4 linked regions of the Struthio camelus genome follow. The protein of the gene in region 4 interacts with the protein of the main gene of each other region in a biochemical or structural test. Links are inferred from orthologs where the notes say so. Each region holds a gene or a part of one and is shown on either strand. Other genes may lie near its edges.

Region 1 (7,596 bases), on a different chromosome or scaffold from region 4:
ATAACAGAGTTCCCTCACAGAGAGCTCACATCCAAACACAGGACCTCCCGGAGCAGCCCTTGTCCGGTATAAAATACTGGAACACTCACCATGCCCTAGAGAAGAACATTCGCCCAAGCTAGAAAGGACGCTGTGCTTAAATGGAGGCTATTTCCAACCTAAGAGTTCAGCTTCAGCTTTTCTGTTAGAGCTAGGTCTTAAAAGTACTTGGCACTGTCTTTAAAGTATGTCCAATGGATTCTCCTCTCCTCCCCAAACTAACCTAGTCCAAAGCTTGAGCCAAGAGATTTTTCTCCAGTCTGCAGATGGTTCTGGGCACAGATTAACCACAGAAAATATCATCGTTTGAAGCAATTTAAAAGAAAAAAAAGCAATACGGTTTCAAACAGACTCTAACTGCTGTCTGATCACTAAAGTAAACGTGAGCAGAAAGCAAGGCAGCTGCCACGGGATCCATAAGAGTACAAAAGCCCTTTCCTTCAGTTAAGGGTGAGATTCGTTAATAAAGACTGCCATTAAATTAACCAGAGTTACAAGAAACAATAAAGATGGGCTAACAGCAAAGCTGATGAAGAGATTAGAAAGCAGCAGCCAATTCTGTCTATAACACACTGGATAGTAAGTCTGAGAAGGCGCTCCCCACATACACATTCAAGAGAAGGGGAAAGCCCAAAACAAAGGAGCCCTCAGTGGGCTGCCAGCTAGGCAGGAGCTGCAGGGTTTTATGAAACAGAATTGGCAACTGTGATTTTGGAGTGTGCAGGCAAACTTGGCATCAGAGCACTATGAGATGGCTGTGGCTCCCAGAGGTCTGGAGTAACTTTGCTACAGATAGATCTGGACGATGCCAACGCCAAAAAAAAAAAAAAAACAGCAAACGAGCAAAATGCAGAAAAAGAAAAGATAGCTAAGGTCGGGTCTGGAGAAGGCGACTCACAGCAGAGGCCATTAATAACCCAGCATGGATATTTTAAGCACAACACACAATCATTTGAGTGGCAACCTGATCTATTGCACATGTGTCTGAATGGGGTGCTTGCCAAGAAGTGGAGAATGGGTCAGTATGGCTCAAGCAGGAACACAGAATGAAACATCAGAGTTTCCTGAAAGGGAGATATTCTCGGCCAGGGAATATTCCCCAAAAGGAGGCAGAGGAAACATGATCACCAGAGTGAGCCTTGGCCTGATCAAAGCACCAGGACTGCTTCTGCTGGAAATGTTTTGATGGAGACAGGAATTTAAGGGGTGTTTTTTCCACTTTTAACACCTAAAAGGAACAAAGAGAAGCAGTAACTACGTCCACAGCCCAAATCTGCCAGCACCAATCCACTGAAATAGCCAAACGCCTTCGCTTTCCTGATGTTTTCTGGCATCATAGCCCTGCAGGGATGCTCTTAGCCAAGAAAAGCAGTATGCAGGACCCATTCACAAGAATGACCTGTGCTGGAAGCCTCACCTCAGCTGGCTGCTGCTGTCCAAGGATGCCCAGGGTTTGCGGCAAGGAATCTCCCAAGCGTGCTTCAGCCTTTGGTTTCACAGCTCCGTCCCCTGACTGGGGCTGGATCTCTTTGCTAGCCAGGAGCTTCTGCTGCTGCTGTTTTTGCAGTTCTCCCTCCTCCAGGTACCTGCCATAAGAGGTAGCATAAGAGTAGAGCATAAGAGCAGGAAGACTTCTCAGCCCCCAGATGTTTGACTAGGAAATCCTTCTGCAATTTTTAGGGACGGAGCAAACAACCAACAAGAATTTTGCTCTCTCAGATCACAGATTCATTACTTCGGTCTTGGCTCAGTCTCCCAGTCTCCATTCTCTTCGTTGACCTGCACCTTTCACTCCTATCTACCTTAGTCTTAGACTCTTCCTCCAAAGCTCTGCCAATACATTTTGATCCTAACCTGCAGCTGCCTGCTGCTCCGTTTGTGTTTCCTTGCGTGCCTAGTAGTCAGTTCTCTCTCTATTTTTCATCTGCAATAAGCAAAAACAGCATTTAATTCTCAACATTTCTAAAAAAAAAACCTCCTTGCTATCACTGATGGATTAGGAAGAGCTGCCTTGAGCACCTGTAGCAAGCAACAGTACTCCTGGTAGCATTTCCGGGCTCTATTCCAAGTTCTGCTATCCCACAGACCAGTAACTAGTCACAAAGCGACTAAATTTCATGAACTATACAGGGGGAAATGACTTTGAGCCATGCCCAAGGGACCTGCAATGAGTTTCAGTCTAAGATCTTGAGCAGAGGTGAAATACCAGTGCAGCTCAGCTTGGAATAGAGGCACTGTGGGGGAGAACGACAGCCTAGGATTTGCATACCTGCAAGGGATAAAGACACTGTAGCCAGTGGTACTCAGCAGCTTCTGGTCTCTAATGCAAGCACTTAGCCAGGATGCCTTCACTAGCTGCAACCCTGAAGGTAGCTTGGGTAACTTAAGGAGCCGAAAGGCACGATCACAGTCCATGTCTTCAGCCACTATGACGTGCGTCACCTCCGAGGAGAGGTGGGCGTGGACCCGACCCCCATTCTGGACAATTTGCTTGTGGAAGATCTCTGCCCTGGCTTGGCCAATGCCAGCTCGCAACACATAGGCAGTGACTGGTTTCAGCCACTCTGCTGAGGAAAAACACAGGGCAGGAGGTCAGTGTGAGAGAAAGAGTGTCCCAAACCAGTCAGGCTACCTCTCTCATGCGGGACTCCTTGGGATCAACCGCGGCAGGCAATCTTTGGGGGCCACCAGCTGCAGGCCTGTGGCTGGACACACCAAACCTTGCCAGTCGCGGCCTCTACAGGAAAAGCACCTGGGCCAGAAAAAGCCTCTGGGAGAAACACATCTCCAGTTAACAAGCTGGGAGATGAGCACTGTATACGCATGACGGGCAGACTGCACTTACCCTCAGGTACCCCTGCTCCTTCCTCTTTGGTGATCTTTGGAGGGATGCTTTTCCCCGAGTCATCCCTCACCTTCTTCCTCTTGGGAAAGGCCTTGACGATCCCCCGCGGCTCCATGGGCTGCGCGTCGCTTCCCCGCGGGAGGGTAACGCTGCGAACGCCGAACACCGCTAAGGAAGAGGAAGGTTGCTCGGCACAGTATCAGGCAAGCACCCCAAGCCAGGCTCCGCTCATTCGGCTCGCAGGCCCGGCCGGCGCGGGGCCTTCTCCGTGCTGCCTCGCCAAGGCGCGCGCGCCCCGGGGGAAACACCTGGAAGGGAGGGCGCAGGACCCCCGGCAGAAACCGCTAAGGAGCCACTTAAGACGAGCCTGCTCGAGGGCCCTGGAAACCACGAGCAGCAGGTGCTCGCAGCACAGAGGCAACGCTCTGTTAACGACGAGGAGCTCCTTCCTGCCCGGCCAAAAGCTTCATTTCCCACGGGTGTTTTAGGGAGGGAAACACCCCTCGCCACCGGGCGCGGGCAGCCGCCGCCGCCATCACCGGGGCCTCAGGCCGCAGCAGCGGCAAGAAACCCCCAGCCCGCCTCCAGCTGGAGGCAGAAAGTCGCAAAGGCCGCCCGGGCCAGCCCGACAGGTTCCCCCCGTCACTCCAGGCCCCCCGCCACCCCTCTCACCGGCGGGCCCGGCCCGGCCCGCGATGGCGGCGCTTCCGGCAGCGGGCGGAAGCGCGCGCGCTGCCATGGCGACGGCGGGCGGCCGCCATGGCGGTGCCGAGCTGGCTGGAGAGGCTGCGGGCCGCCCGCAAGACCGCGCTGGTGCAGGACGGTAACCGGCGGCCCGGGGCGGCCCTCCGGGAGCGCAGCGGGGCTGGGCGGGAGGGGGGCGCTGGCGGGCAGCGGCTTGGGGCCCTGCGAGCCCGCGGCCATGCAACCGGGGAGAGGGTCCTTGAGCGGGGGACAGGGCCCCAGACTGGGGTGGGGGTGGGGGGGGGACGACGACATGGCCCCTGAACAGGGGACAGGGCCCCAGACTGGGGTGGGGGGGGACAGGGCCCCTGAACAGGGGACAGGGCCCCAGACTGGGGTGGGGGGGGACAGGGCCCCTGAACAGGGGACAGGGCCCCAGACTGGGGTGGGGGGGGGGGACAGGGCCCCTGAAAGGGGACAGGGCCCCAGACTGGGGGTGGGGGTGGGACAGGGCCCCTGAAAGGGGACAGGGCTCCAGACTGGGGTGGGGGTGGGACAGGGCCCCTGAACAGGGGACAGGGCCCCTGAACAGGGGACAGGGCCCCAGACTGGGGGTGGGGGGCAGGACAGGGCCCCTGAACAGGGGACAGGGTGGGACAGGGCCCCTGAACAGGGGACAGGGCCCCAGACTGGGGTGGGGGCGGGACAGGGCCCCTGAAAGGGGACAGGGCCCCAGACTGGGGGTGGGGGGCGGGACAGGGCCCCAGACTGGGAGGGGGGGTGGGACAGGGCCCCTGAACAGGGGACAGGGTGGGACAGGGCCCCTGAAAGGGGACAGGGCCCCAGACTGGGGGTGGGGGGCAGGACAGGGCCCCTGAACAGGGGACAGGGTGGGACAGGGCCCCTGAACAGGGGACAGGGCCCCAGACTGGGGCAGGGGGGCACAGGGCCCCTGAACAGGGGACAGGGCCCCAGACTGGAGGGGGGGGCAGGGTCATACATCTGGGGACAGGGTCGTAAACCCAGGGACAGGGCCTCCGAGAAGGGGCTCCGTCTGCCTCCCACCCTCACCGCCCACTTTGCCTCTAGGGAAGAAGAAGGTCCACTACCTGTTTGAGGATGGCAAAGAGATGGCTGAAGAGTACGACGTGCAGACGGGTCAGTTAGTGAGTAAGTGACGCGCTCGGCTGGCCCCCAGCTGCCCCAGGCGTAGCAGAGCGAGGCGAGTGGCACCAGTGCGTGCGTGCGGCAGCAGGTCTGCGCTCGCCAGCCTGGGGTAATCTCCCGAGGGACCTCCTGGTTAGAAAAAAGTTGCTCCCAAATGGCCCAGAAGACAATTCTGCCTTTAGCGCCCCTGAAATTTGTAGGGATGTAAATAAGGTCCAGCTTGGACCCAGAGGTCTCTCCCTTCCAGGGCATAGCAGACCTTATTTTAACCCAGGATCTCTCCTAAACATCCACTCTGTCACAACAGGCTTGAAGGGACCGAAAGGGATTGCCCTCTCGGTCTGTAGCACGCGCTGGGGTGAAGTATGCTTTTTGACAACTTCTGCAACCGCAAGCAGGCAAGATGTCAGTTTGGGTCTTACCCAAAACCACATCAACTGCAGTGTGGCACCTGCTGCAAGCCCTCTGTGGGTTCAGCACCGACTAACAAAAGAGAGAGACTCAGTGCTGATTTTCTGACTTTAGGAGCTGGCCAGCTAACTGATCGACTTACACCTAAGTGGAAATGACTGGAATTAAGGGAAAAGGCATATCATCTCAATGGGCTGGGCAATTTTGTTGGCTATTTTCTGGAGTACTTTTTATGGAACAGAATAATGAAAACCCTCCTTCTCCTTTCCACAGGTAGAAAATGGCGAGAGAAGAATGCTTTAGGGGGCTCCGGCAAGTGGCAGGTTGAGGTGGGAGAGCCAACCTCACCTCTCGTGGGAACACTGGAATCAGAGCTCATAAAGGAAAGCAGCTCCAATGTATGTAAAGGGTCTGCAGGCACCGCTCCGCCTAGAAACCTAGCCTCGTGCTTACAGTAGTAGTTCGTAGACTGCAGATCACTCATAGCCCCAAGAGGCAGCCTTAGCTGGCCTAGTGCTCATCCCATAGGTGTGGGGCTGAGCAGAAAGGGCACAGTTTAGTTTGTTTGCAGTCTTCAAGAGCTTTGGAGTTTCCTTAAGTAGAGAAACTGTCTACGTTGCTGTGTTGGCTAGCTCCTGTTTTGGCTTCCAAAAAATAGCCTCAAAGGAAGGCCAGTGCCTGGACAAGTCAGTGGATGGAAAGCAGAGGCAGTGACCATGAGAACATGACACCTGCAGTGCATAGCACTGCCTGTATCAGCTTCTCATCCCAACAGCTTGCAAGGCTGTTAGTCTCTAATCTGAAACACAAGCACAGCCCTGCACAGCAAACTGGGACACAGCCAGGACCAAGTGCAGCAGGTCCCTAGGGTAGGGGAAGAGGCCCGGTTTCCACATAACACTGTCGTTCAAGAGCCCCTCGTTGAACATTCCCAGCCTCCTACAGGCAGGGCAGGCAGTGAGTGCCCTGGGTAAAGGCTGTGCCATAGCAGTGCCAGCTTTAGGAGACTGATGCTCAGGCAGTTTGAGTTATTCCCTGCTCTGCTCGAGTGTGAAGGAAGGGCTGCCTCATGTGAAACCTCTCAAGATAGTACAGGAAGAAGGGCTAGGGAAAAGAGAAGACACAACTGGAGGGGACTTGCTAAAGGTACTTGTTTGCTGCAGCCTGTCTTCATGAGGAAGGATACCCTGACCAGCTTCCAGTGGCGGATCCGTAACCTGCCCTACCCCAAGGAAGTTTACAGTGTCTCCGTGGAGAAGGAGCAGCGCTGCTGTGTCATCCGGACCACCAATAAGAAGTCAGTAAGGACAGCACTGCCAGTGCTGAGAGTCCCTCGGGGTGGGCTGGCATAGAGGACAGGCTAGTGATGGCACAGGGGAGGTATCATCTCTTGGCTTTAGGCTCTGCCATGCAAGGACTGAGCAACCACAGCCAGTATACACAGCTGAGTGCCTCCTCCTGTCTGATTTCCACTCCCAGGTACCCCAGACATGTCTCTGGTAAAGCCCCTCAGCTCTGCGCTGCCCTTCACAAAATTATCACACAATTCCAGTAACAAGATGTTTGCTCTGTCCTTTCCCTGTCCAGCAGCACTCCTGTAATAAATAAAATAGGACCCCCTCCCCGACCTCTTGAAGCTAGAGTCGCCAGCTCTAGATGACGGAGCATTTGGATGACACTTTGATCTAGTCACATTTCAGAATGTGTGGAGCTGCAGGATTCAACTGGTATAGCATAAGTCATGTGGGCATCCAGGGAGACCTCCCTCAGTAAACCTATCCTGTAGTTATAAGGCAAATGATACAATCTGGAGGTGGCAAGAAGAAGAAAAGTCAGAATCTTGAAAGAAAGTGTCACTATATTCTACAGAAGGAATTTGAGATGGGAGCAAAAAGTGGCTATTAAACATCATCTTACACAGTGTCATTGCCTGGCCTTTTACCCATGGAACAAGGGACATAGTGTGCCCCAGAGCTTTTGCAGCCTCAGGTAAATGAGCAGGCATGAGCTGCAAGGGGAAGGGATAAGCAAGGAGGGCACATTAGGAGAACAAGGGAGGATACTGGAAGATAAATGAATGCCATTTACCAACCAGGGTACTATGCCAATATGGAAAGGTGGGCAAGGTGCCCTCTGCTTGTCTTCTTTTCCCAGTGTCACTGTAGAATAGAGAAAGATCAGTCATGAATAAGAACCACCCCGTTATTTTCCAACCGGCTTCCTGCTGTCTTTAAACTACTCCTTGTAGCTGGCTGTAGGTGGTGCTATTGGCAAAGAACTCACTCCACTTTGGCCACTTAAAGCCTTTCAGATACCAGAAACCACAAATCTTTAGGTAAGGGTTTACCACATCAGAAGCAGCGGCAAAGGGATGTTTGAACTCTGCACCTGAGCACACCTGGATGCTCACAAGCAGAAGGAGGTTAGACAGAGGAAGAAGCATCTGTCCC
Region 2 (7,458 bases), on a different chromosome or scaffold from region 4:
AGAATACCCTTGTGTTAGAGTGGAGGCTTCAAAAGCCTCTACGGCAACAGCAGTCCCCACATGCACATCTCGACAGTAGGGGGACAGGCTGTCCCATGGAAAACCTGCAGAAGCACATGGAGAATACATACTATAGGCTAGGGCACTGGACACGGAGGATAGAGACAGGAGTCCCGATTTCTCATCCCAGCTCCAACAGACTCACCCTCAAACATCCTCTATGAAAGAAGGATGTATTCCTGCCCTGAAGGAACACTGTTTTCATAATAGCAGCCTGGAGCTGCAGCCACAGAACAAAGTCCCACTGTGCAAACTGCTGCACAAACACAGATCACTAGTGCACCGAGCACAAGAAGCAAAAGGCATACACCAAGATTCCCAACTGGGCAAGGGTTCACTTACAGGAAAGTGACTGGCCAGGAACTTCCAGTCATTCTGCCCATAATGTCTCACTAGCATCTTCAGCTGCTCATCCTGCAAAGAATAACGACATCTACTTTCACATACACTGAGGCATAGATGCCACAGGCATGCCCAGGTCCAATGGCATCAAAAAAGGAGCATGATCTTTTGGTCTGTCAAGAAGTTTTTCATTATTCTGCATCCTGGGGAGGAAGGCAGCTCATGCTGTCCTTTAGCAGCACTCTAGCGCATGGACTGTTTGGTCCAAGGCTTTGTACAAGGACCAGCTTGTACAGTGAGATATAATACAAAAGCTCTGCTGCTGTGGTCACATTCAGGCCTCTCTCCGTTCTGTTCTAGTATAGCGCAAACGGTACCGTGCAGCCAGGGCTATCTCCTTATCCAGTCCCAGCACATCCCTGAGCAGACGGTCTCTCTTCAACTCAACCACTGCTTTTGCTGTCCAAGTGCATCGCTGCCAACCTAGTAGCCTCCTGCCTTTCAGCACTGATGAGCCCTTAGAGCACTTCTGTCAAAAACCACACCTTTCCCCTACTCCTACAGATCAGGCAAAGTCTGCTACAGCCCAGCTTGCCCATGTGCTCCGGCTGAGCAAAGAGGTAAGAAATAATTCCCTGCCCAACATGAGCCCAAGAGGCTTCGATCTCTGCACAAAGACCATTCTTACTCAGCGTTCAAACTCCAGGAGCAACAGGATATTTTGTAGTTCTCACACAGAATAGAGATTATGGAGGAACTAGGAGGCAGAGAACATCCCAACTAATTTCAGGCTCTCGGCCAGGATGACTAAACCATGATCCCAACACTCTCAGCGTTCTCTGCTCTCGCTACAGAAAAGGGAGGGCATCTCTACAGCACCACAGTGTGATTCAGCCCAGCAACGCCTCAGCCATCCTCTGGAACCGCTCTTCGCTCACTGGAGAGTCTCAGGCACTAGACGCCTCACTCAGGACTCGGATGCCTAAGCTGAAGTGGTCTGAGCTCCAACCCTCCTGCTGCACTTTAGACTCACCTGAAACTCCATCCTCACTAAGATCTCAGCTCAGGTCAGCAAAACAGGCCCAAGGCCTTTCCAGTAACGAGACAAGACATGAGGCGATGTTGTGGCCAGTCAGTGAGGACTTGGATGGAGGCACCCACCCCTCAGGTGCCATGCCAGAGGCCAGGGACAGCCTCCTTTCCCAGCTGCTAATGGATATGATAAATGAACATCCTCACCAAACGCCATCGACTTCCTTCCATGTGTCCAGCTGTTCTCTTACAGCTTATCCATGCCAGAAGTCCCCCAAACAACCACAGTATCTGCAACCCTCCCCAGAAACACCTGCTCTCAGGAAGTGCCAGGCTCTCACTCACCTCCTCCTGTGTCCATTTGACTTTGCACCTGCTGTCCCGCTGTTCTGACACATCCGAGTCAGTATCCTGACAATGCAAATCATCTTGGTCCTCACTGAAGAAAGAAACAAAAAAAGGTTATTGTTTCTTCCTCCCATAAAGAGACAGCAGAAAGAGCAACCTCCAGAGCAGAGAGCAGAGCTCCAGATCTACGGTCTTCCCCATGCTGAATCTCAACACCTCACAGACATTAACTCGGATACAGAAGGTTTAAAAGGGGTCCTCAGCTTTGAAATCTTGGTGTGTGCTAGCAATTCCTATGCTGCCAAGAGAGCAAGGAAAGGAACATTTCTCTTGATTTTTGCTAGCTTTTCCCCTCTGGGAGGGCTTTGTGTCTAAGGGCTGGCACCACTTTCCATCTCTGCAGATCATCAGTCTCCTTCCTTGATTGCCGGTGTAAACAAAAGAGATGAAAAAAGGAGGAGAAGCCAGTCCCAAAACAATTCAACAAGAACAAAATGGTCTGGAAGGCCCCAGAGCAGCTCTCAGAAGAGAAGCTAAGTGTTTTGGGGCAAGATTTCGAGGGAGAGGTCATCTCACACCACCCAGGCAGGGACTCCTGCAAGCACATCCCACCAGCACTGCACCCACAAAGGCCAACGATAACAGGGAGATGCTGGGCAGCTTTCTGCAGCGGACTGGGCAGCCCACACCACGGAGCTGCGCTGGCCCTGGGAGAGTGATCCTGGGGGCACCGACTGCTGCACATCAGCAGCCCCAAGCACGCGCTTAGGTCTCCTTTACCACTTTTTCCCTGCTCAGGGGCAGGAACAGGGCACAGACCACGGCCTCGCCAGCGGAGAGGCCTGTGGCACGGAGCCCGCCACACCAGCGAGGGCAAGCGGGAGCAGCCAGCCCTGCCCCAGAGGGCAGCTGAGGAGCGGGGGGCCGGGCCGCTGCCCTGCTCCGAAACGCAGCGCCCGTGCAGCGGGGCTGAGCGGGGCGCCGGGCAGGAACAGGCCGAGGCAGAGCCCGAGGGCCCGGCAGTGGGTCCTGCCGCCTGCTATGGGGCAGGCTGGGCCCCAGGCGCCGCGGGGGTAGTGGGGGGGGGGGGGGGGAATCCCGGGCTGGCACCCGCTGCAGGCAGGGCCGCCGCCGGCCTGCGCCTCGCCTCCCCCCAGCGCTGACCGCCCGCCCGCCCGCCCGCCTGCCCCTCTCCGCCCGCCCGCCCGCCCGCCCGGCGGGAAGGCGCGGGCACGGAGCCCCGCGCGCAGGCGGCGGCCCCACTCACCCGCGGCTGCGGCGCGCCATGGCGGCCGCGGGCTGGCGGCGCGGAGCCGCAGGTCGGGCGGGAGCCGGGCCGGGCCGGGCCGAGCCGGGCCAGGCGGGCGGGCGGCAGCGCGGCGGCAGCAGCAGGCACTTTCCTATCTCGCGCCAACTGCGGCCCCCCCCGCCGCGGGGCCGGGCCGCGCCTGCGCGCTGCGCCCCGGCGCCGCCCGCCCGCACAAAGAGGCGCGCGCGGGACGGCGCAGCCCGGCCCGGCCCAACCCGCGGGTCCCCTCACGGCCCGGCCCGCGGCTCTCTCACAGCCCGCCCCAGCCCCGGCCCGCGGGTCCCCTCACAGCCCGGCCCCGCTCCCACCCGGCGCAGAGCCCCCCTCAGAGCCCGGGGCCTCGAGCAGGACCCCCAGACACCCTTCCCCGCTGCGGGCCGGCAGCCCTCAGCGCGACAACTCGTGACAAAAACGTGACAGTCCGCTCCCTCGACTGGCGGGCCCCGAGGACGGCCAGGGACCCCGGCACGGGGAGCCCCCTCGCAGCCCGCCCTGCCGACGAGCTCAACGCTGAAACGCCCCCGAGGCCGCTTAACCGTCCGCCTGCGGGGAACCGCTCTCCGTAACCTGGAGTTGAAAAAGAAAACCGCGCCGGGACAAGTCTAAAGACAAATCTTCTCCTGCCCTCTCTGCCACCAGCCCCCGCGTGGCCACCCCAGGACCCCTCGGCGCAGCAGGGGCCTCCTCGCGCCCCTGCTCTAACCCGCCGCCGCTGCCCGCGTCCCTCCTCGCCGAGGGGCCGCTCGCAGGTCACCCGCATGGGGCAGGGGGGGTCCCACCGAGGGCCGTGGCTATCCTTGCAAAACCTAGCACTTTTCGGACACAGATACAGGCACAGGTTTGCCTTTTGGGGTGTAAAAGAGAGGCCTGAACCCCTCAGGGCACAGCTTCGCTTAACAGGCAGTCCGACAAGGCGGCCCTAGGAGGGGATCTGCGCTGGCCGCGATGCGGCCGCGTCCAGCCTCTTAGCCGCAGACCACCGAGCATCCCCGCAGCCTGCCGCCCGGCGCTGCTCCCTTCGCCTTCCCGGCACCTACCTCCCATCGAGAGGGCAGAAAAAAACCAATCAGAATTAAACACCTTCCCCATGCTGCTTTTCCAGCGCCACTGCTCCAGGGGGGCAGCGCAGGATCCCAAGCGGAGGGCACGGGTCGGCACGCTCCCAGCAGCTGGGGCTCTCCTGGAAAACCTTCACTCTACCTTTCCTTATCCCTTCTTGCCAGGGGGCGGCACTGTTATACCACGCACACAAAAAAAAGCAGGCCTGAAAAAGAAGCACAAGAAGTTACCCGAGTTATAGCTGTTCTTGAACACACCAGGAATTGGCACCACCGTATTTTGGACTGCTGCTGCTGTTTTTGCAGTGCACGCTGCGCATAGGTATCTACACATACCTGCTCGTGCCCCTGTTTTCATTCTAACTCCTAGCGTTTGGTCTGTGCACACAAACGTTCCCTGGTCAGTATTTCAGACTAAACATAGCAGCTTTCCGTCTAGGGCTCGCAAGGCGGGAACGCTATACGCGTCCTTCTCCTGCAGTCAGGAGACACGGGTCTCAGTCCTGCTCAAACTTAGCTGCAAACACGCTGTTTGCTCTTGAAGGCTGCTTGCTGACGTGCTTCAAAGTTAAAAAACGCAAGCAAGTCTTTGCAGGCCTTAGGATTTACTTTCCGCGTGGTTTATCACATCCCCCAATCACTACCATTGACCTAAAACTCCTCCCTCTCCCAAACTAGCTTAATTAGGAAATTAGCATGTTAATTAATTAGCAAAACTATAAAAATACTACCAGCAACATGATCAAAAAAGGATCAGGATCTTGAAAGGGGTCTCTGTAGAAGGTGAAGGTAAGTAGTCAGGTGTTTTTTTTTCTATGCTTTTTATTTTCTTAGTATTTTTCAAGTATTAATGTATTTAAAATGTCTTTAAGGATGAAGTATTTCAGTATCTTAAAGAACAATTCTCCTTCACAATGACCCATAGTTATACAGTTCTGCCTTTATAGTAAATAAAGTGGCTTTTTTAATGATACTGGCTGCCTTCCCCATCTCGCTCTCATGTATTCCTCCTCTGTCTGGTCAACAAGCAGTTGCTGACTGGCCAAGTGGTGAGAACTTCCCTCACAAGGGGAGGGGGAACGTGAAGGAAACTCTTAGTGACTGAGCAAAACATACTGTCGTGCGGTTTCAGAGCAAGACGAGAGCAGCCAAGAGGACCTGTCTACTAAGAGTTCCCCAGGTGGCCCGTGTCTAGACTACGGGGTCCCACAGATCTGTGGACAGGGGCTGTACCATGTACAGGACTAAATACAACATGGGAGCTACTCCTTCCTGTCAAACTCTCACTTCTCCTAACCAGTAATACTGGACCCAGTATTAGGGTCTCCCTCTGAAAGGGAAGCAACTCAGCTCTAATTGAGATTAATGCTGTCCTGGTTTGAGGAATGAGAACAGAATATCTGGTATCTCCAGGAAAAGGCCCATCCTGCTCCAGCTTAGTACCACTAGGAGGTGGAGAGGTTTACTGAGACTCCTTACACCCAAGAGGACAAAACTAAGAGTAATGGTATCCAGGCTGAAGACATTAAGTGATGCTATTCAGTGTCTGAAGCTCAGCTGTGAGAGCTGATCTAACCAAATGGAGGACTGTTCCTTCAGGCCTCCCCTAGATGGGAAACAGCCCTGCCTAATAGTACATCCAAGGATTTCTCTGACTCTCTGGCCAAAAGGTACAATAGGTACAATTGTGGGTATGCTCCCTTCTGCCTCAACTTGGCAAGGATGCTGCAGTGTTTGGGGGAGCACTTCTTAGGTCACTTAGACAGTAATGATCTCCTCTGAGCAGTAAATAGGCCATGGCCTGACTGCCAATAAACAGGGAGCTCTGTTACACTAGAAGCGAACTACAATTTGGACGCCTAAACTTTCCTTGGATCTTGCCTGTCTCCTCACTTTCCTAACTGAGAAACGGGATTTTTAAAATTTATTTTTTAGCACACTTGTTCTACCAGGGACATCTTCAACTTCATAAGCCTGACACTGCTGGGATACTGCATCATGTCCACCAAGAGGAGCAATACCAGTATCCTGACCCTAAAGGAAATCCTGGAAACTGGCTTTGTGACAGGGGCCTCCACCCACAGCCATTCTTCTCCTGTCCACAGTTATATGGACTGTAGCGGTGCCTCAAAATCCAATACCTGGGAGCTTCTCCTAGACTTGGACAACACAGCCAAAGGCAGCTCTCTGTATGTTGTCAAGCAGTCAGAGTCTCTGAACAGCTGTGTGAAGACTGACCTGCACAGCCTGACCCAGGCAGTTTCTGATAGCAGTCTTGTCTCTTTCTGCAAGACCCCCCGTGGTCAAACTGTCTTTGATCTGTCTGGTTTGCCTTCTGAGCACCCCAATAGAGGCCTGGGGTGCCACTCCATGATGGATGTGGTCTCGCACAACACATCAACACCATGCAAGACAGAAAAGCACGCCAAACCACTGGAGAATCTGCTATCCAGGAGCACTGAGCTTGTAACAGACATCTCAACCCTTGAGAAGCCACCAGCACCCAGATGGGAGATTTCTGAAATAAAAGCCCCCCTGGATACCAATCTGTCCCTTGACATAAGTGCTGAAGAGCTAAGGTTGCTGGGATGTTCAAAACCGGATACCCCATTACTGGAGACCTCCTCTGTAGTAATTCCTCTGGCTTGGCCTGGTGCCTTCAAGAGGTGCCCTACTCTGATCCATATGTCTTCCACCTGTGAGACTCAGCTGAGTGACCCTGAGCCTGTATCTGTGTTTCAGCATCAAGCCCTGTGATGCTGCTGCCCTAGCTCCAAATCTAAGTGAACTCCTCTCTTAAACTTGCATGTGTTCAGCTGCTGTGTGCTTCACTGGACGGCTTGGGGTAACTTCTGTGACGCCGATCACAAGCTGCACAATGTCGCGGATGCATGCTGCAGCACAGAAGATCTCAAAGCTGAGCGGCCCCCTACCCTGACCTGAGCCAGGGGCTTGCTTGCTGATGAGACTACCTGTTGCTGCAGCTGTAGGTGTAACTTTTAATCTTCCACTTAGAGATGACTTAACTGGGAAACTGCTCGGGGCACTACTGGGTGGAGCAAGCATGGACGGTTCGTTTGCTGTACTCCTCGGAAAGCTGCCTAAGCTAATGCCAGCTCATGAGCGCTGCTCAGCGACTTGCAGCGCTCCTGGGTTCCCAGACCAGTTCTCTTCCCCTCCCTTCTCGGTGTCCTTTGTATTAACGCAATAAAGATTTCAACTTCATTGTGTGCGCGGGCTCTTGACGCTCATCGCCGGGGGGAAAAAAACAAAAGACGGTGGGGGGTCAGGGGGGGAACCACCGCTGTC
Region 3 (7,486 bases), on a different chromosome or scaffold from region 4:
AAAAAAACCTTTAGCCCCATGGTTTTCGAAACAGTCTCTTCATGTTAGTGCAAGACTCACGAGTCCTGAATGATTGAATTTGACAGTATTCCTGAAGGGCACAATAGCGTGAAGGGATCTGTCTCAACCTGGTGCTAAAGAGAGAAAAATTTGCCATAGAATCATATTTCCAAATGAGAAGAGGAATTAAAAGTTTGGAGGTTTACTTTTAGCATGTGCTATAAAGGCTAACGAAGATTGAATAATACACCTAATAGTTAATCCTACCATTCACATAGAATTCTATATACATACGTGTGTGTGTGTGTGTGTGTGTACACACACACAAGAACACGTATTTACACATATATACATATATGCATATACATTAACATACATATATACCTATATATTCATATCTACTGCTAGGACAATAACTACCTGTAGTTTCTCATTTCTAAGTAGTTTCTAATTTCTAATTCTCAGTTGCTAACTTATGAGCAGGTGTTCTTGGCAGCAGGGAGAGGTTAGACTTTCCTACCTCTCTCTGTGCTGGATTCTTTCATCAATTATCTTCCTGGCTGTGTCCTTTCTTTTTTATAAGGTTAGAGCATAATACATACACAGGGAGAATTGTGCTAGCTTAATTGACCTAGGAAGAGGTTAACAGACGTTTTCCAGAGTCAGCACTGATTCTTTTACATTTTTCAGTAGATATATATAAAAAAAAAAAATTCGATTCACCTGCAGATTCTGGCAGAGTGGATGCAATCACACAGCAACGTTTTGATCATTTCTTCTCAGACCTCCCAGAGGTTGGTTTTGGCAACTGCTTGTCTGCCTTAAGCAAAGTTCTTCGTGGGCCTGCCTTGTCATTTGGCTTCTCATCCTACAGATCCAACAAAAGAGATAAAGTCACAAGAGAAGACAGTGCAGCAGTTTGGCTTGCAGAGCATTAGACATGCCATTCTGTTTATCATATTTAGTTGATGTAATTTCTTCTTTCCCCTCTGATAAGCTCCTAACTTAGGTACATTGTAAGAATTGGAAGCTCAGTGCTGAATGAGAGCTTTCTCTGCCTCATCTGCAGAGAAGTAAAGGGATTTCTGCTTATTCAAGCTAAATGAAAAGAGGGCATTTCTCTTTTTTTTAGCAAAGGAAGAGAAGCTTTGCCTTTACCAATTCTACATTCTAAATAAAATAAAAACAAGCTAGAGAAGATGTAGTAGAAACAGAATACCTAATCTATCACTCCTGTGAAGATGTATATGAAGAAAGACATTGATGAAGAGGTGATTTTCGACAAGCTACTCATATGAGGAGAGTCATGGCTAACTTGACTGAACTTCCTCCTTAGACAGACAAGAAGCAAGAAGAGAAACACAAATGAAGGCCAGTGTCAAGACTGGCATTTCTGGAAGACTAAAAAAAGAGTAGGACAACAAAAAAAGACAATATTAGATTATATTACAAGTGCAGCTACACTAGTGAGAACAAATAAACGTAAATTTGACATGATGGAGAACAGAAATCACTGGAAAGACTGAATGAGGGATTGCGATAAATTTGGATCAATAGGAAAAAGAGGAAACAGAGAGGAACAAGTCATCAGTGTAGACAAATGACCGAGTCTAAATGATAAGGATTTTAGGTGTTAGAATAAAGAGAGTCTGAGATATTATAAGGAAAGAAATGACATCTGGACCAAGCTTAGATTAGAAGATAAAGTGAAAGGGATTTCTCACTCTGAATGAATACAGCCTGAGTGACAGGGAAAAAGGTAGCATTGACATCATTAACAAAGAAATGCTAATAACGGAAGCTCTATAAGAAGTGCAAGGATAAAAAAGGTGGTTCTACATTATCAGAACTCAAAGGCACAAAGGGAGGCCAGCGAGGTAGGCTGTAATTCTGAACTGGCCAGGAGGCAGCAGAGCTATACGTGCAACTCAAAAATAATCTCCAGATATCTCCAGATAATATCCAGATTTTTGAATAATTAATGCACTGCTTGTATGCAGTGTACAGTATGCAGAAATGATTGCTGGCAGGCTGTCCTAATAGGTAAATTTAGAATGACAGTGCCTGTCATTAGCACTAGGACAAGCCTGCTCTCATTTATGCTTATGCTATCCTTCTACCTGCTATAGGATTACATGGAGAAAAGAAAGAACAGAATTTGGCCTGCATTATTCTGTTATTATCCCTCACTTAATTCATGTTTGCTGTAATCTGCTCTTAAATACTCTCGCCCTTAAATAAAATTGTTGAGAGTTTACTTTACTTAGCTAAATCTCTAGCTGCTGCACTGGCTTATTAGAGCTCTTAACAGAATGTGCAAATTAGAATTGCTAAAAAAAACCCAAAGAACACCGCAGAAGCTGAGCAACATGTTTCAACACCTTCTTTCTAAACTGCACGATAGGATACTACACAGCGAGTAAAGAAGGTGGAATCTGTTTCCGATTTTACAGTTTCTGTTAATTTCATCTTATTATGAGACAATAGCCAAGTTAGAGTGTTGCCTTATGAACCTTGACCACTTTAGGCTTTCCTGTTATTTACAAAGGGGTGAAGTTACAGATCTCTACGTGAAGCACCCAGTAAACACAATATTACGTTTCATATTCTAGTGAGCAAGAGTCCTAGTGTATTCAAATGCAGGACAGCTAGTCTTTACCATTAAAGAGCAATTCTTTTTAATGTCAGAACAAAAAGAAATGGTGAAAAAAATGTTTTGATAAAAGACAAAAAGTGAAGTGCCAATTATTTTTTTAAACATGCAACTGCACTAGCTTCAATAAAATTCCACCACTTCAAAAAACAGCAAAATACAATTCAAATAAGATAGCCTCTTTACCTGGCACTGGTTATTGTTACTTGACAGTTTGGGGCCCAGATGTTCAGTAACGGATGAGGAATGGACAGTGAAACGTAGAAGAAATTGTTTTAAAACACCTCTGCGCTCTTAGGAGCGCACTGCTTAGGTGCAGGGGATGTAGTGCAGTGGTTCATTGAATACATCACTATCCTGCTTTAAGCTTTCCCCTGTGCAATGGGGCAAAGTTCTGTAATGCTCATGTTAAGTTTCAGTGCTTCAATAGTCCTGAAGAACTACTCATGAGTTTCTTAATTACTTCAGTATTATCATACATACACCCAGGGAGCTGAGGCCTTCTCAGTTTGTAACCTATGACCACTAAAGCTGCAGAGTTTTCTTGCAGAGGGCCTAGGAACTATAGCTTAGAAAAACAGGCCTATTGTGAGTAGGCCTAAATCTGCTCTACAAATACAGCTCCACGAGATAGTTTTCAGAGTGGCACAAGTCAAAAGAATTTGAAACCCACTAATCTCTGTCCTTTTCATAGGAGGTAAGGCATAAACGAATCTTTTTCTTTACTGTTGCACGTTTTTCTTATGCACTATCATCCCATGCTTGTTTGTGCCATGGCCAGTGGCTATAGCGCACTCCAGACTCTAGATGCTATATATTTTTAACTTTGCATTCTGTGCAACTCTTTTGCTATACAACTAATTAATAAAGCAAAACAGCAGGCCAAGTTATATTCTCCATTATTACTGGTGTAAATGAAGAGTTGTTTCACAGAGTCTCAAGTATTTATCTGGATTTATAGCAGAGCTAATGACAACAACACCTTATCTGGGCACCGTAATTATGTCATAATAATCACCTATAGGAAATAAATGTATAAAGGCTAAATATTGTTGTGCAGAGCATGAATACCCTGAGCAGTTCCAGACATGTGGAATCAGCAGATGCACAAAACAGCTCTGAGTTACCCGTTGTGCATTAAACGCACCCTCATATGTTTTCCTCTGTCTAGGCAGTTATCACAGAGCTTTTTGCCTCGCAGTTCACAGAAGTGCAAGAACCCTCCAGCGCGCTTTCCCAGCAGCATTTTCTCAAGCAGCACTTGAACTGTATCTGCGTGCTTGGCCCTTCAGCGGGCACGAGGAATTAGTACGTTGTTTAAACAAAGATCCCTCGTTCTCCACCACGTGCTTCTGAGCACATGTACCAAAAAGCCTGAGCGACAAACCTGAAGCCGCGGGCCAGGGCCGAGCGCCCCGCTTCCCGGCGCTCAGCCCGCCCGTCGCCGCCGGCCCCAGCAGGCCCTGGGGCCAGTAACCACTCCTGCGCTCACGCTTACTTCCTTGCTGCCGACCCCGCTGCCCCTTTCGGGCTGCCAGGGGAGGGCAGGGGCAGCCCGCTCGCAGGCCGCTGTCCCGGGTAACGCCCACCACCGCCGCCGCCTCAGCTCGGCTCCCGCAGCGCGAGGCCCGAGGCGCCGCGCGGGCTCGCCACAGCCGCCACAGCCGCCACGAGCCCGCGCGCACCGGCCGGCCGGCCGCCCCCTTGGGCGGGACGCTCCCCGCCGGCTGGCCAATAGCCTCCCGCTTTCCCTCGGCCGGCGGTCCCATTGGCCGAGGCCACGGTTTCCGCCGAGGGCCGGGATTGGTCGCGGAGGGGCATTCGGCAAAAGGCGGCAGCAGGCAAAAGCCCGTTTCGTCGCGGGAGCCCGCGCGGCGCGTGAGTCTGAGCCTGCCCCTCCCCCACCCCAGCACCGCCGGCGGGGCCCCTTCCCCGCCACCCCCCTCCCCCCCCACCCCATCCCGCGCTGCCGGCCGTTGGGCGCTGACTGAGGCGCCGGTACCGCTGCCCTGAGGGGCGAATCGGTCCGGTGCGGCCCGGGCCGGCGGGCTTCCCGGGGCGCCCCTCGCCCGGCCCCGCGCTGCGGGGCTCCAGCGTGCCCTGCGGGGAGCCCGGCGGCGGGGGGCGGGTGCCTTGGCGGGCTGGGCCCTGCCCGAGCGGCCGCTCCGCTCTTGTCCGGCGGGCTCCGCCGCCCGAGCGCCCAGGGCCCTCTCCGCACGGGCCTCCTGACGCGTTAAGAGCCTCCTTCAGGGCGCACCTCGCTGCGTCCGTGGGTCACTGCAGGAGCCGTTCACACATCGCGTACCTTCAACTTTGCCATTTAATTGGTAACTTCTGCTCACTTTTTAATATTTATGCTCTCAGACTGCTGCTTAAATGCAGCTGAAAGCGTGCATTTGACCAGGAGCCTTGCTACCAGGAGCAGTCTTGTAAAGCTAACCTGCTGTGACACATCCCAGATGTTTTTCTTTTGTCTAGCAGTAGTCGCATAAGGTAGCTCAAACTGAAAGCGTGGAAGTGTGATTTCTAAGTGCTTGTGCTGTAATGAAATGATTTATTGTAAATTTGTGGAAAATGCAAACTTACTGCATGACTTGATCCAGCCACAAAATTTGCCTTTCTTAAATAACAAAATAGATACACTAATACCATCCTTTGGTTTTGGCACCCCCTGCTTTTTCCTGCAGTACCAGTGGGTATGCTCCTGTTTGAAGAGCTTTGTGTTTTAGTGATAACAGATTGTGTTACAGGTAGTGACATCTGCTTTAGCCAGAGATTTGGCAGTAGTATCACTAATTTTTGTGTGTGAGGTTCTAATATCTGACTCAAAAGACTCTAAAACTCTGCAGGTTGTTTGAACCTGTCACTACCTGGTTGTTTCTCTTTTTTTATATTGGGAAAAACAGGTTTTTGTTTGTTTGTTTTTTGGAGATCTGTGATTTAACTGTAAAATAATTCTTTGAACTGAAACTTTGGATCATTCCTCTTCACTTTTCGTCTGTAACAGTGATTTTTTTGAGCATTTATTAATGTAAAAACTAAACATCTGACTGAATCAAACTTGGCTAAATGTTCTGTTAAGCCCTCTTCCAAATCAGCACGCTGTTGGGTTTTTTCTTAACATACTCAAATATTCTAGGTATTCTGTAAATAGTTATGCAAATATTAGCTTTTATGTTTAGCAAAAATGAATGTAAATGACACCTTGAGATACTGAGTCCCTTTTACCCTGCTCATGGGCAGGAAGTCCTGGAACATGTGTTCCCAGGGTGTTTTGCAGGCAGACAGGAGCTTTCATCTTCTGTATCCCAAACCAGCTGGGTGTAGCTAGCCTTGAACTGGAAGAGACTGTAGCTGAGGCTGGGATGGCACTGAATCAGAGCAAGTAAGCTGCAGTGAGAGGCGGAGTGCACTAATTTGCACTCCTTCCTCTGATGAGGAGGCCCTGCCATTTCAGGTGTGGAACAGGCTCATCCGCTTACTTGACGCTAGTGGAGGGAGCGTTTAACTGTGAAAGGCTGTAGACGGATCTCACTCCATCAGTTTCCAAGTCCTATTCTCCTTATCTATCCTTTACCGCTTCTCCAACGAAGCTTCAAAAAAAGGCTGCTGCTTGTCACTGTTCTGCTGCATGGGGATAACAAAGGAAAGGTAGCCAAAATTCTTTGGGGACAAAAGTATATTTCTAGCTTCATACCTGAAAACAGGTGAATCCTTTCTGCTGACAGTTTCCAAAATATGTTTCCTCCTTGTAGGAAAGTTCAGCCAGAAGTTTGGCAAAGTTACAAGCAAGAAAGATCTTTAAATATGTGCTAGGTGACTGTAATAGATGCAGATTCCAGGCTCATTTATCACTGTGGTTATTCTTCCCTAGTGCTCTATCTCTTTCCTCCTTTTTTTCATGATATAGAATTAGCGGCTTCTGAATTATACACTGTAAGTACACTACAGCTTGCTTATTCTTACAGCTTGCTTAATTTCCAAGATTGAGCAAGAGGCATATCAAAACAGCATGTGTGCATTTCTTGTTATGGTGAAAAGGAAACTAAGAATTATACTTCTTGTTGATCTCTAGAAGAAAGAGAAATCTCCCATCATATTGCAAAGATAATCATTTTCCTCTCTTATAATTTGTCTCAGGAGTGGGTTTTTTTTTTTTTTCCCGTTACTCTGTATGAGTGTTGCACTACGCAGATATTTGTGTGGATCAATTCCTTGCTTTCCAAAGCAAACTTTAAGGAAAGGATAATGCTTTAATGTGAATGAGTAAACACTAAAGATGAAAGAGAATCACTTGTCTAAGCTCATACTGCAGTCTTCCTTCCCTTCCCCCTTTCTTCCTCTTTCTTGGAGATAGAGTGGGTTTATTGGTTTAATTTTTCTCTTTTTCTGGGATGATGGGTAAGGCTTTGTTGTTTTAATTAGCACAGAGGAACTCCTCAAACTCCCTGAATCTCATTTCAGGAACTGTGTGAAGGAGAAGGAAGTCTATTACCAGATATGTTTGCTCCCCCAGGTGTCCAGATGTGGTCCTCAAAGTCTTGGATTTTTTTTACTTCAGGTTAGTTTTGTGATGGAGACAGTGTTGAAGTCTCATTGTGATGAACAGCACCCCCAAGAGGCTGAAGAATTGCAGAGGAAGCAGGAGCAGAACAAGCAGCTTTCAGGTATGTGCTAAAACAGGGACCACTAATATTACTTTTTGTTGCTGGCATGCTTTCTCACTTCAAGGACTGTCAGGAGCAATATACTGTTTGTATATGGTCCTATTGTATAAAGAATTTGTGAAATGAAAACTCTTGAGGTTGCTTTTGTTCTTAAGCTTTTTAAGCT
Region 4 (7,107 bases):
ATCCGGCTGCTTCCAGGGAAATAAATACATCGGGGAGGGAGTTGGGTTGAACCCGCCTCGCCTCTGCGAGAGCCTGGCGCGATGCGCAGCCCCGAGCCGGGACGGGGTCCCCAAGGTCGCAGCTCCGCAGCCCGAAACGTCTCCCGGGGAAGGGCTGTAAGTGCCTGAAGTCCAGGGGAGGGGAGACGGGGGCCTCCGTGGGGCCAGAGCGGAGCAGGCCCGGCCCGGGCAGGATCGCGCCCGCCTGCAAGCGGCAGAGCTGCACGCCGGTGGCCCCACGCGGGGACCTGCTCCGCTCCCCGGGGGCTCGGACCCCGCTCGGGGCCGGAGGGCGGTTGCGGAGGGGAAAGAGGGTCCCTGAGCCCCGGGCTGGGGCCTCGGCGGCGCTGCCCCCGGGGCCGGAGGTGCTTCCCAGCATCTCGCCTCCGCGGCGGGGGGCCGGGGGGGCGTGCGCGCGGGCAGGGAAGGCGGCCCCCGCTCTCCGGGCGCTGCCTGGGCAGCGGGAGGCTGCCCGGTCCTGTCCCGAGGGCTCCGGCTCGGCGCCGGCAGAGCCCGGAGGGCTAAGTGCAAGCAGGAGGGGCGGCAGCCCTGGGGCCAGGCTGCGTCACAAGCGCAGGTGGGGGACAGCCCGGGTGACGTCGCGGAAGAAGGGGTGACCCAGCGCCGACTTGGCCGAGATCCGCTTGTTGGGGTCGTAGTGCAGCATTTGCTGGGGAGAAGAAGGGGGCGGTGAGGGGGCGGCCGGGGACGCGGGAGCCGCGGGACCCTGCTCCCCCCCCCCCCCCAACCCGCCGCGTCCCTCACTCACTGCCAGCAGCTTCCGCCCCTCCTCGTCCAGCGGCGGCACCACTTTGCTGAAGTCCTGCCGGGCCCACTTGGGGAAGCTGGGCTTGTAGTCGGGCATGGAGGTGACGCCCGGCCACATGGCCTCGTCCGGGGTGCCCAGCGTCCGGAAGATGCGGAAGAGCTGGTCGATCTCCGAGTCTCCGGGGAACAGGGCTCGCCTGGTGATCTGGGCGAGAGGGCAGAGCCGTGGAGAGCCGGGCTCCACTGGGGCTGCGGCCGGTGCCGTCGCCCCAGCACCCGCGCCGGGCCGGGCCGGGTTGACCCCAACGCGAGGCAGGGGCTGGCCGGGCCCGCGGGCGTTACGGAGCCGCCTGGCTTCCCCAAAGCGCCCAGTGACGGGGCGAGAGCCGGCGGGCGCCGCACTGGCAGGTCTCCGCCCCGGGACGCCTTGCCCTTTCCAACCAAAGCTCCCCCCACCAGCACGCGTTGGTGGGTGCCAGACAGGGCCAGGCTGCCCGACAGGGGCAAACCCTCGGCCAGAGATCAAACAGCCCCTCATGACGCGGCGCCGCGTGAGCTCCCGCGCCGGCCCCTCGTGACGCAGGCCCTGGCCCCGGGCAGGGTGCCGGCCCCGGGGACGTGTCCCTGCCCGGCCGCGTGATGCCCAGCCCGGGCGGCGGGGCTCACATGACGGCCCCGCTCGCCCCGGCCAGCGCGGCCCCTTCCTCCGGGGCCCGGGAGCCCACAAAGCCCCTTTTCTTCGCCGGTGTCCGTCAGCCGGCTCCCCGCGCCGCGGTGACGCCAAGGGCTGCCGGCCCCGGGCGTGCGGCCGCGCAGAACCGGCCCGGCGAGGCCGTGCCTCGTCCCCAGGGCGCCGGGCGCACCCGTGCCTCGTCCCCAGGGCGCCGGGCGCCTTTGGACGCGAGGGGACAGGGACCGGCGCCGCTGCGGAGCGTTGGGAGCCAGGCCGGGCCGCGCTCGGCGCCTCTCCCCGCGCAGGGGCGCCCCGGGGGGCCGCTCACCATCTCGGCAAAGATGCAGCCCAGGCTCCAGATGTCCACGGCCGTCGAGTAGTACTTGCAGCCCAGCAGGATTTCGGGGGCCCGGTACCAGAGGGTCACCACCTGCCGAAAGGGGCGAACGGGCGCTGGCTCCTCCGCCCTGCCGGGCCGGCCCAAGCCGTCGCTCCCGCCGCCGTGCGGGGAAGCCGGCAGGCCGGGCACGTGCTCGGGGCGCTCACCTCGTGCGTGTACGTCCGCACGGGCACCCCGAAGGCGCGGGCCAGGCCGAAGTCGGCCAGCTTGATGGCTCCCTCGGCGTTGATGAGCAGGTTCTGGGGCTTGAGGTCGCGGTGCAGGACGCGGTGGGAGTGGCAGAAGGCCAGGCCCTGCAGCAGCTGGAACAGGTAGCTCTGCGGGCGGAGGGCGGGCGGTGGGCGCGGGGCCGCCGGGAGCCAGCCCGCCGCCCGCCGCGGCCCTACCTTGATCAGGGGCAGGGCGATGCCGCTGATGGAGGACGAGTCCATGAACTTCTTCAGGTCCTGGTGCAGGAACTCGAAGACCAGGTAGAGCTTGTTCTCCGTGTGGATCACGTCGAGCAGCCTGGAAGCGAGCGGGGTGCAGGCCTGGGCCCGGCGCCGCGGCCAGGCAGCGGGGCGCTCCGCTCCCGCGGCCGGCCCCCGAACCGGCCGGCCGAAGAGGCGAGGGCCGGCTGCGAGCGCGGCCGGGGCGGCTCCGCCAGGCGCCCGGGCCCCCCGCCGCCCCGCTTACTTGACGATGTTGGGGTGGTTGAGCTCCTTGAGCAGGGAGATCTCGCGGATGGCCGTGCTGGGGACGCCCTCGGTCTCCCTGCGGGTGAAGCCACCGGGGCCGGGCTCAGCGGGCTGGGCCGCCGCCTCGGGCCCCTCGAGCCGCCGGGCCGGGCTGCCCGGGGGCGCCGCGGCCCCTCCCGCGCCCCGGCCCGCCGCGCGGGGCTGCCTCACGTGTCCAGGCGGATCTTCTTGAGCGCCACCACCTCGCCCGTGACCTTGTTCCGGGCCTTGTAGACGACGCCGTAGGTGCCCTCGCCGATCTTTTCCACCTTCTGGAAGTTCTCCATGGGGCGGCGGGTGGGGGCCGGGCCCGGCACCGGCGGGAGGCTGGTGCAGGGGGTCCTGGCGCTCACTCCCGGGGGGGATGCAGGGGTCCCGGGGGCTGGTGCCGAGAGGGTGCAGGGTGTCCTGGGGGCCGGTCCCGGGTGGGGGGGTGCAGGGGGTCCCGGGGAGGTTCCGGAGGGGGGTGCAGAGGGTCCTGGGGGCCAGTCCCAGGGGATGCGGGGGGGGGCCGGTCCCGGGGGGAGGTGGGGGGGCCAATCCCGGGGGGGAGCAGAGGGAGGGTACAGGGGGTCCCGGGGGCCAGTGCCGGGGGGGCAGGGTGTCCCGGTCCCGAGGGGGGCAGGGGGGGTGCAGGGGGTCACCGAGGCCGGTGCCGGGGGGGGGGCCGTCCGGGGCGTGCAGGGGGTCCCGGGGGCCGGTGCCGGGGGGGCCGGTGCCGGGGGGCCGGTCGGGGAGTCCCGGGGCCGGGGGGAGGGCGGGGGGGGTGCAGGGGGTCCCGGGGGCCGGGGGGCCGGTCGGGGGGGGCGGGGGGTCCCGGGGCCGGGGCCGGCGCGCGGGGCGGATGGAACGTTCGCGGCCGCCGCTTCCCCCCGCGCGCTACAATGTTGCCGCGGCCGCCGCCCGCCCGCCGCTTCCCGCCTTCCGCCGGCCCCGCCCCCCGCGCCGCCCCATTGGCCGGGGCTGCCGCCGACGCGCCGGGCGACGCGGGAGATCCCTTAAAGGGACAGGCCCGCCCCGAGGCCGCTGACGCGGGGACCTTTCCGGGGGGGGGGGGAGGCCGGGCCGAGCCCCCCCGGACCAGCTGCTTCCCGAGCCGACCCGGCTTGTCCTGGGGGGGGGTGTCCTCCTGGGACAGGGACATGCTGGGCTCTGGCCGGGGACCCCCACAGCCCGGGGACGCAGTTGGGGTGGGATCTGGCGAGGGACCCCCACAGCCCGGGGACCCCCACGGGCCGGGGACGCAGTTGGGGTGGGATCAGCCAAGGGACCCCCACAGCCCAGGGACCCCCACAGCCCGGGGTCCCCCACAGCCCGGGGATGCAGTCAGGGCGGGATCAGCCCGGGGTCCCCCACAGCCCGGGGATGCAGTCAGGGCGGGATCAGCCCAGGGACCCCCACAGCCCGGGGTCCCCCACGGCCCGGGGACGCAGTCAGGGCGGGATCAGCCCAGGGACCCCCACAGCCCGGGGACCCCCACAGCCCGGGGCCAGGGCCGTGCTCCTCTAACCGCGGTTCCCCCGTGGCCTGGGGACGGGGTCGTGCTGGGTGCTGGCGAAGGTCACCCATGGCCGGGGCTGGGGTCCCCGTCCCCAGGTGCGCCCAGCGCAGGGTCCCCGGCCGCGGCCGGGGCGATGCTGCCACCTCCCCTCCGGCCCGGCCAGCCACCTGGCAGGGGACGGAGCCGGCAGCGGTGTCACCGAGGAGGAGGGCCCGGCTCGAGCTGGGCGCCAGGGCGGCCGCGGCGGGCTCTGAGCGCGGAGCCCCGCTCTCGGGGGCAGCGGTGGCGTCGCCAGCGATTTGGGCGCAGGGGAAGGGGCTGGAAACCGCGGGAGGAGTCCGGCGCGCCCACGCGGGGCAGCGGCCTGCAGGGAGCGGAGAGCGGGCCAGGTGGCCGCCCCGGCCGGCCGCGCGGCGCTGCGTGACCGCAGCCGAGGCCCCGGGGTGCCGGGCTCCAGCCCGGTTCCCGGCGAGCCGAGCGGGCGCCCTGCCCCGGCCGGACACCTGCGCGGGTGCAAAGGGCCCGCGGAGGGGAGCAGCCGGGACCAGACCCGGCAGCAGACCCCCCGAGGGGGCTGCGGTGCGTGGAAGGAGCGTGTGACCGGCCGGCCGGGGGCGGGGGGGCCGCACGCGCGCCCCACGCGCACAAGGGCAGCTGGGCGCTGCGGGGGGGCCGGGCCCCGCGGGGTGGGACTATGCAAACGAGAGCCCCTTCTTATCCCCCCGGCGCCGGCGCCTTCGCCTCTCTGCCCTGGCAGTGCCCGAGCGCGGGAGGCGACGACGGCCGGAGCATGCGGGTGCAGGGGGCGATCGCGCTGCTGGGGGCCCTGCTGGCCCTGGCCGCAGCTCAGCGCCGTAAGTGGGGCCGGGGGAGCCGCGAGCGGGGCGGCCGCTCGCCCATGGGTGCGGGGTCCCGGTGGCACCCAGAGTCCCACACCGGGCGGCCGTGGCCAGGACGGTCCCGGGCGGCGATGGGGCCTGCCGGGCTCCCCAGGGTGGCCAGGGGGGCGGCGGGGAGTTAACAGGGCTGCTGGTGGGCCCCGGCCCCCTGCCCAAGGGAGGGGAGCAGGATTAGCCCCTGCTGATGCCCGGGCTGGGCACCGCGGGGGGGTGCGAGCGGGGCCGGGGCGCGTCGCGGGGACCCCGCGCTGCCCGCGACGGGCGGCATGGCCGGGGCGCCCCTGCGAGCCGGGGGACAGCGGGGGCACCCGCGGCGAGGGGGGGGCTCACCACCCCGCCGGGCCCGGAGCCGCCGCCGGCTCAGCTGAGAGTCACATGAAAGGGCTTGGGCAGCGCGCGGCGCCATGTGACGGGCTCGGCCCCCCGGCGCCGCGCGCGGCCTGGCCCCAGCCCATCACGCGGCGTCTGGCCGGCGCGAGGGCCGCGCGCCCGGGGCCGCCGGGGAGCCCCGTCACCCCTCTGTCCCCCAGGAGCCGGCGGCCGGAGCCCCGGCAGCAGCCGGCGGAGCCAGACGTGGAGCCAGGCGCCGGCGCCTTTCCGCAGCTGGGACGCGGGGCTCTACCCGCCCTGGCAGGATGGGGCCCCCTGGCAGAGGGACTGCTGGCGAGGTGGGGGCCGGGGCCGGGGCGGGGGGGGGTCGGGGCCGGCGGCGCCCGTCGCTGAGCCCCGGCCTCGCGCCCCTCCGCAGGCGGCAACGTCACCTTCGACATCAGCAGCGACGCGCCCACCATGGCGGGCGCCAAGGCCACCTTCTCCATCGCCCTCCGCTTCCCCGGCGGCCAGGCGGCGCTGCCCGACGGCCGCGTCGTCTGGAGCCGCGACGGCACCGTCAACGGTGAGCGCCGGCCGGTGCGGGCGCCCCGCTGCGCCCCCCGCCGCCGCCGCCGCGCTCACCCCGCGCCTCCCCGCAGGCACCCGCGTGGCCCGCGGCCAACCCGTCTTCCCGGAGCAGCTGCCCGAGGGCTCGGACGGCGTCTTCCCCGACGGGCAGCCCTTTCCCCGCAGCGCCCGGGGCGAGCGCGGGAGATTCGTCTACGTGTGGTGGACGTGGGGTGAGACCGCCGGCGCCGGTGCCGCCGGGCCCCCCGGAGCCCCCGGTGCCGGGGCTGACGCCGCTCCCCCGCAGGGCGGTACTGGCAGGTGGTGGACGGCCCGGCGTCGCGGCTGACGGTGGGCACGGCCGGCGTGCCCCTCGGCTCCTACACCATGGACGTGGTGGTCTACCACTACCGCGGCCGCCAGAAGTTCATCCCCCTCGGCCGCGCCAGCACCCGCTTCAGCGTCACGGGTAGGAGCCGGGGCGGCGGGCGGGGGGCACCGGGGGGGCGGCGGGCGCGCTGACGGCGCCGTGTCCCCCGCGCAGACCAGGTGCCCTTGGCCGTGGACGTGGCGCAGGTGCAGGGGGCGGCCGGCGGCGCCGGGCGCTTCGTGCGCAACCGCGCCGTGGCCTTCGCCGTGCGGCTGCACGACCCCAGCGGCTACCTGCGCGACGCCGACGTCTCCTACTCCTGGGACTTCGGGGACGGGAGCGGCACCCTCATCTCCCGCAGCGCCACCGTCACCCACACCTACCTGGAGGCCGGCTCCTTCGCCCCGCGCCTGGTGCTGCAGGCCGCCATCCCGCTGAGCCCCTGCGGCAGCTCCGCGCCGCCCCTCGTGGACCCCACCACGGGGCCGCCGCCGCCCTCGGCGCGGCCCACCGCCACCAGCGCCGGCCCCGCGCCCAGCACCGCCGCGGCGCCCAGCACCGGTAAGCGGGCGAAGGGGCGTCCCCGGTCCCCGGGCGCCCCACGGGCACCCCGCGACCCCTCCGCTCTCGCTCTGCCGCCAGCAGCCACCGCCTCGGCGCAGCCCTCGGACCCCTCCGGCACGCGGCTCAGCCTGCTGGCGCTCAGCACCCCGGCGGCCACGTCCCTGCCCGGTGAAGGAGCCGGCGCGGAGCCCGCTGCCGTCTCCGCCGCGGCGTCTGCGGACCCCCTGCTGCCCGCCTCGGCCTCCCCGGCCGGGGACGCGGCGGACACCTCGTCCCCCACGGCAGGACCCGCTGCCAG

The links.
Region 1: of the proteins of CDK2 (region 4) and POLL, one has a biochemical effect on the other in vitro, tested with the Homo sapiens proteins (2 studies listed by BioGRID). The link is inferred for Struthio camelus from reciprocal best matches to the Homo sapiens genes CDK2 and POLL.
Region 2: of the proteins of CDK2 (region 4) and MYBL2, one has a biochemical effect on the other in vitro, tested with the Homo sapiens proteins (3 studies listed by BioGRID). The link is inferred for Struthio camelus from reciprocal best matches to the Homo sapiens genes CDK2 and MYBL2.
Region 3: of the proteins of CDK2 (region 4) and CDC7, one has a biochemical effect on the other in vitro, tested with the Homo sapiens proteins (2 studies listed by BioGRID). The link is inferred for Struthio camelus from reciprocal best matches to the Homo sapiens genes CDK2 and CDC7.

What each region holds. Positions count from the first base shown.
Region 1 is NC_090948.1:16,303,796-16,311,391, forward strand, and holds the start of POLL (DNA polymerase lambda), read right to left. Parts: upstream 3,000-7,596; coding exon 2,885-2,999; exon of another isoform or gene 2,639-2,884; intron 2,607-2,638; coding exon 2,309-2,606; intron 1,626-2,308; coding exon 1,457-1,625; intron 1-1,456. Other genes in the region: protein DPCD, read left to right, coding at 2,998-3,087, 3,536-3,707, 4,658-4,726, 5,420-5,544, 6,310-6,443.
Region 2 is NC_090959.1:5,762,851-5,770,308, forward strand, and holds the start of MYBL2 (myb-related protein B), read right to left. Parts: upstream 3,139-7,458; 5' UTR 3,070-3,138; coding exon 3,050-3,069; intron 1,874-3,049; coding exon 1,780-1,873; intron 475-1,779; coding exon 403-474; intron 1-402. Other genes in the region: uncharacterized protein, read left to right, coding at 6,148-6,906. UniProt on the Homo sapiens protein: Transcription factor involved in the regulation of cell survival, proliferation, and differentiation. Transactivates the expression of the CLU gene.
Region 3 is NC_090949.1:19,220,567-19,228,052, reverse strand, and holds the start of CDC7 (cell division cycle 7-related protein kinase), read left to right. Parts: upstream 1-4,441; 5' UTR 4,442-4,531; intron 4,532-4,785; exon of another isoform or gene 4,786-4,980; intron 4,981-7,214; 5' UTR 7,215-7,226; coding exon 7,227-7,320; intron 7,321-7,486. UniProt on the Homo sapiens protein: Kinase involved in initiation of DNA replication. Phosphorylates critical substrates that regulate the G1/S phase transition and initiation of DNA replication, such as MCM proteins and CLASPIN.
Region 4 is NC_090969.1:689,737-696,843, forward strand, and holds the start of CDK2 (cyclin-dependent kinase 2), read right to left. Parts: upstream 3,033-7,107; 5' UTR 2,884-3,032; coding exon 2,768-2,883; intron 2,634-2,767; coding exon 2,556-2,633; intron 2,388-2,555; coding exon 2,267-2,387; intron 2,198-2,266; coding exon 2,027-2,197; intron 1,911-2,026; coding exon 1,809-1,910; intron 1,013-1,808; coding exon 809-1,012; intron 710-808; coding exon 605-709; 3' UTR 1-604. Other genes in the region: melanocyte protein PMEL, read left to right, coding at 4,888-4,951, 5,527-5,664, 5,745-5,891, 5,968-6,108, 6,183-6,344, 6,420-7,107. UniProt on the Homo sapiens protein: Serine/threonine-protein kinase involved in the control of the cell cycle; essential for meiosis, but dispensable for mitosis. Phosphorylates CABLES1, CTNNB1, CDK2AP2, ERCC6, NBN, USP37, p53/TP53, NPM1, CDK7, RB1, BRCA2, MYC, NPAT, EZH2.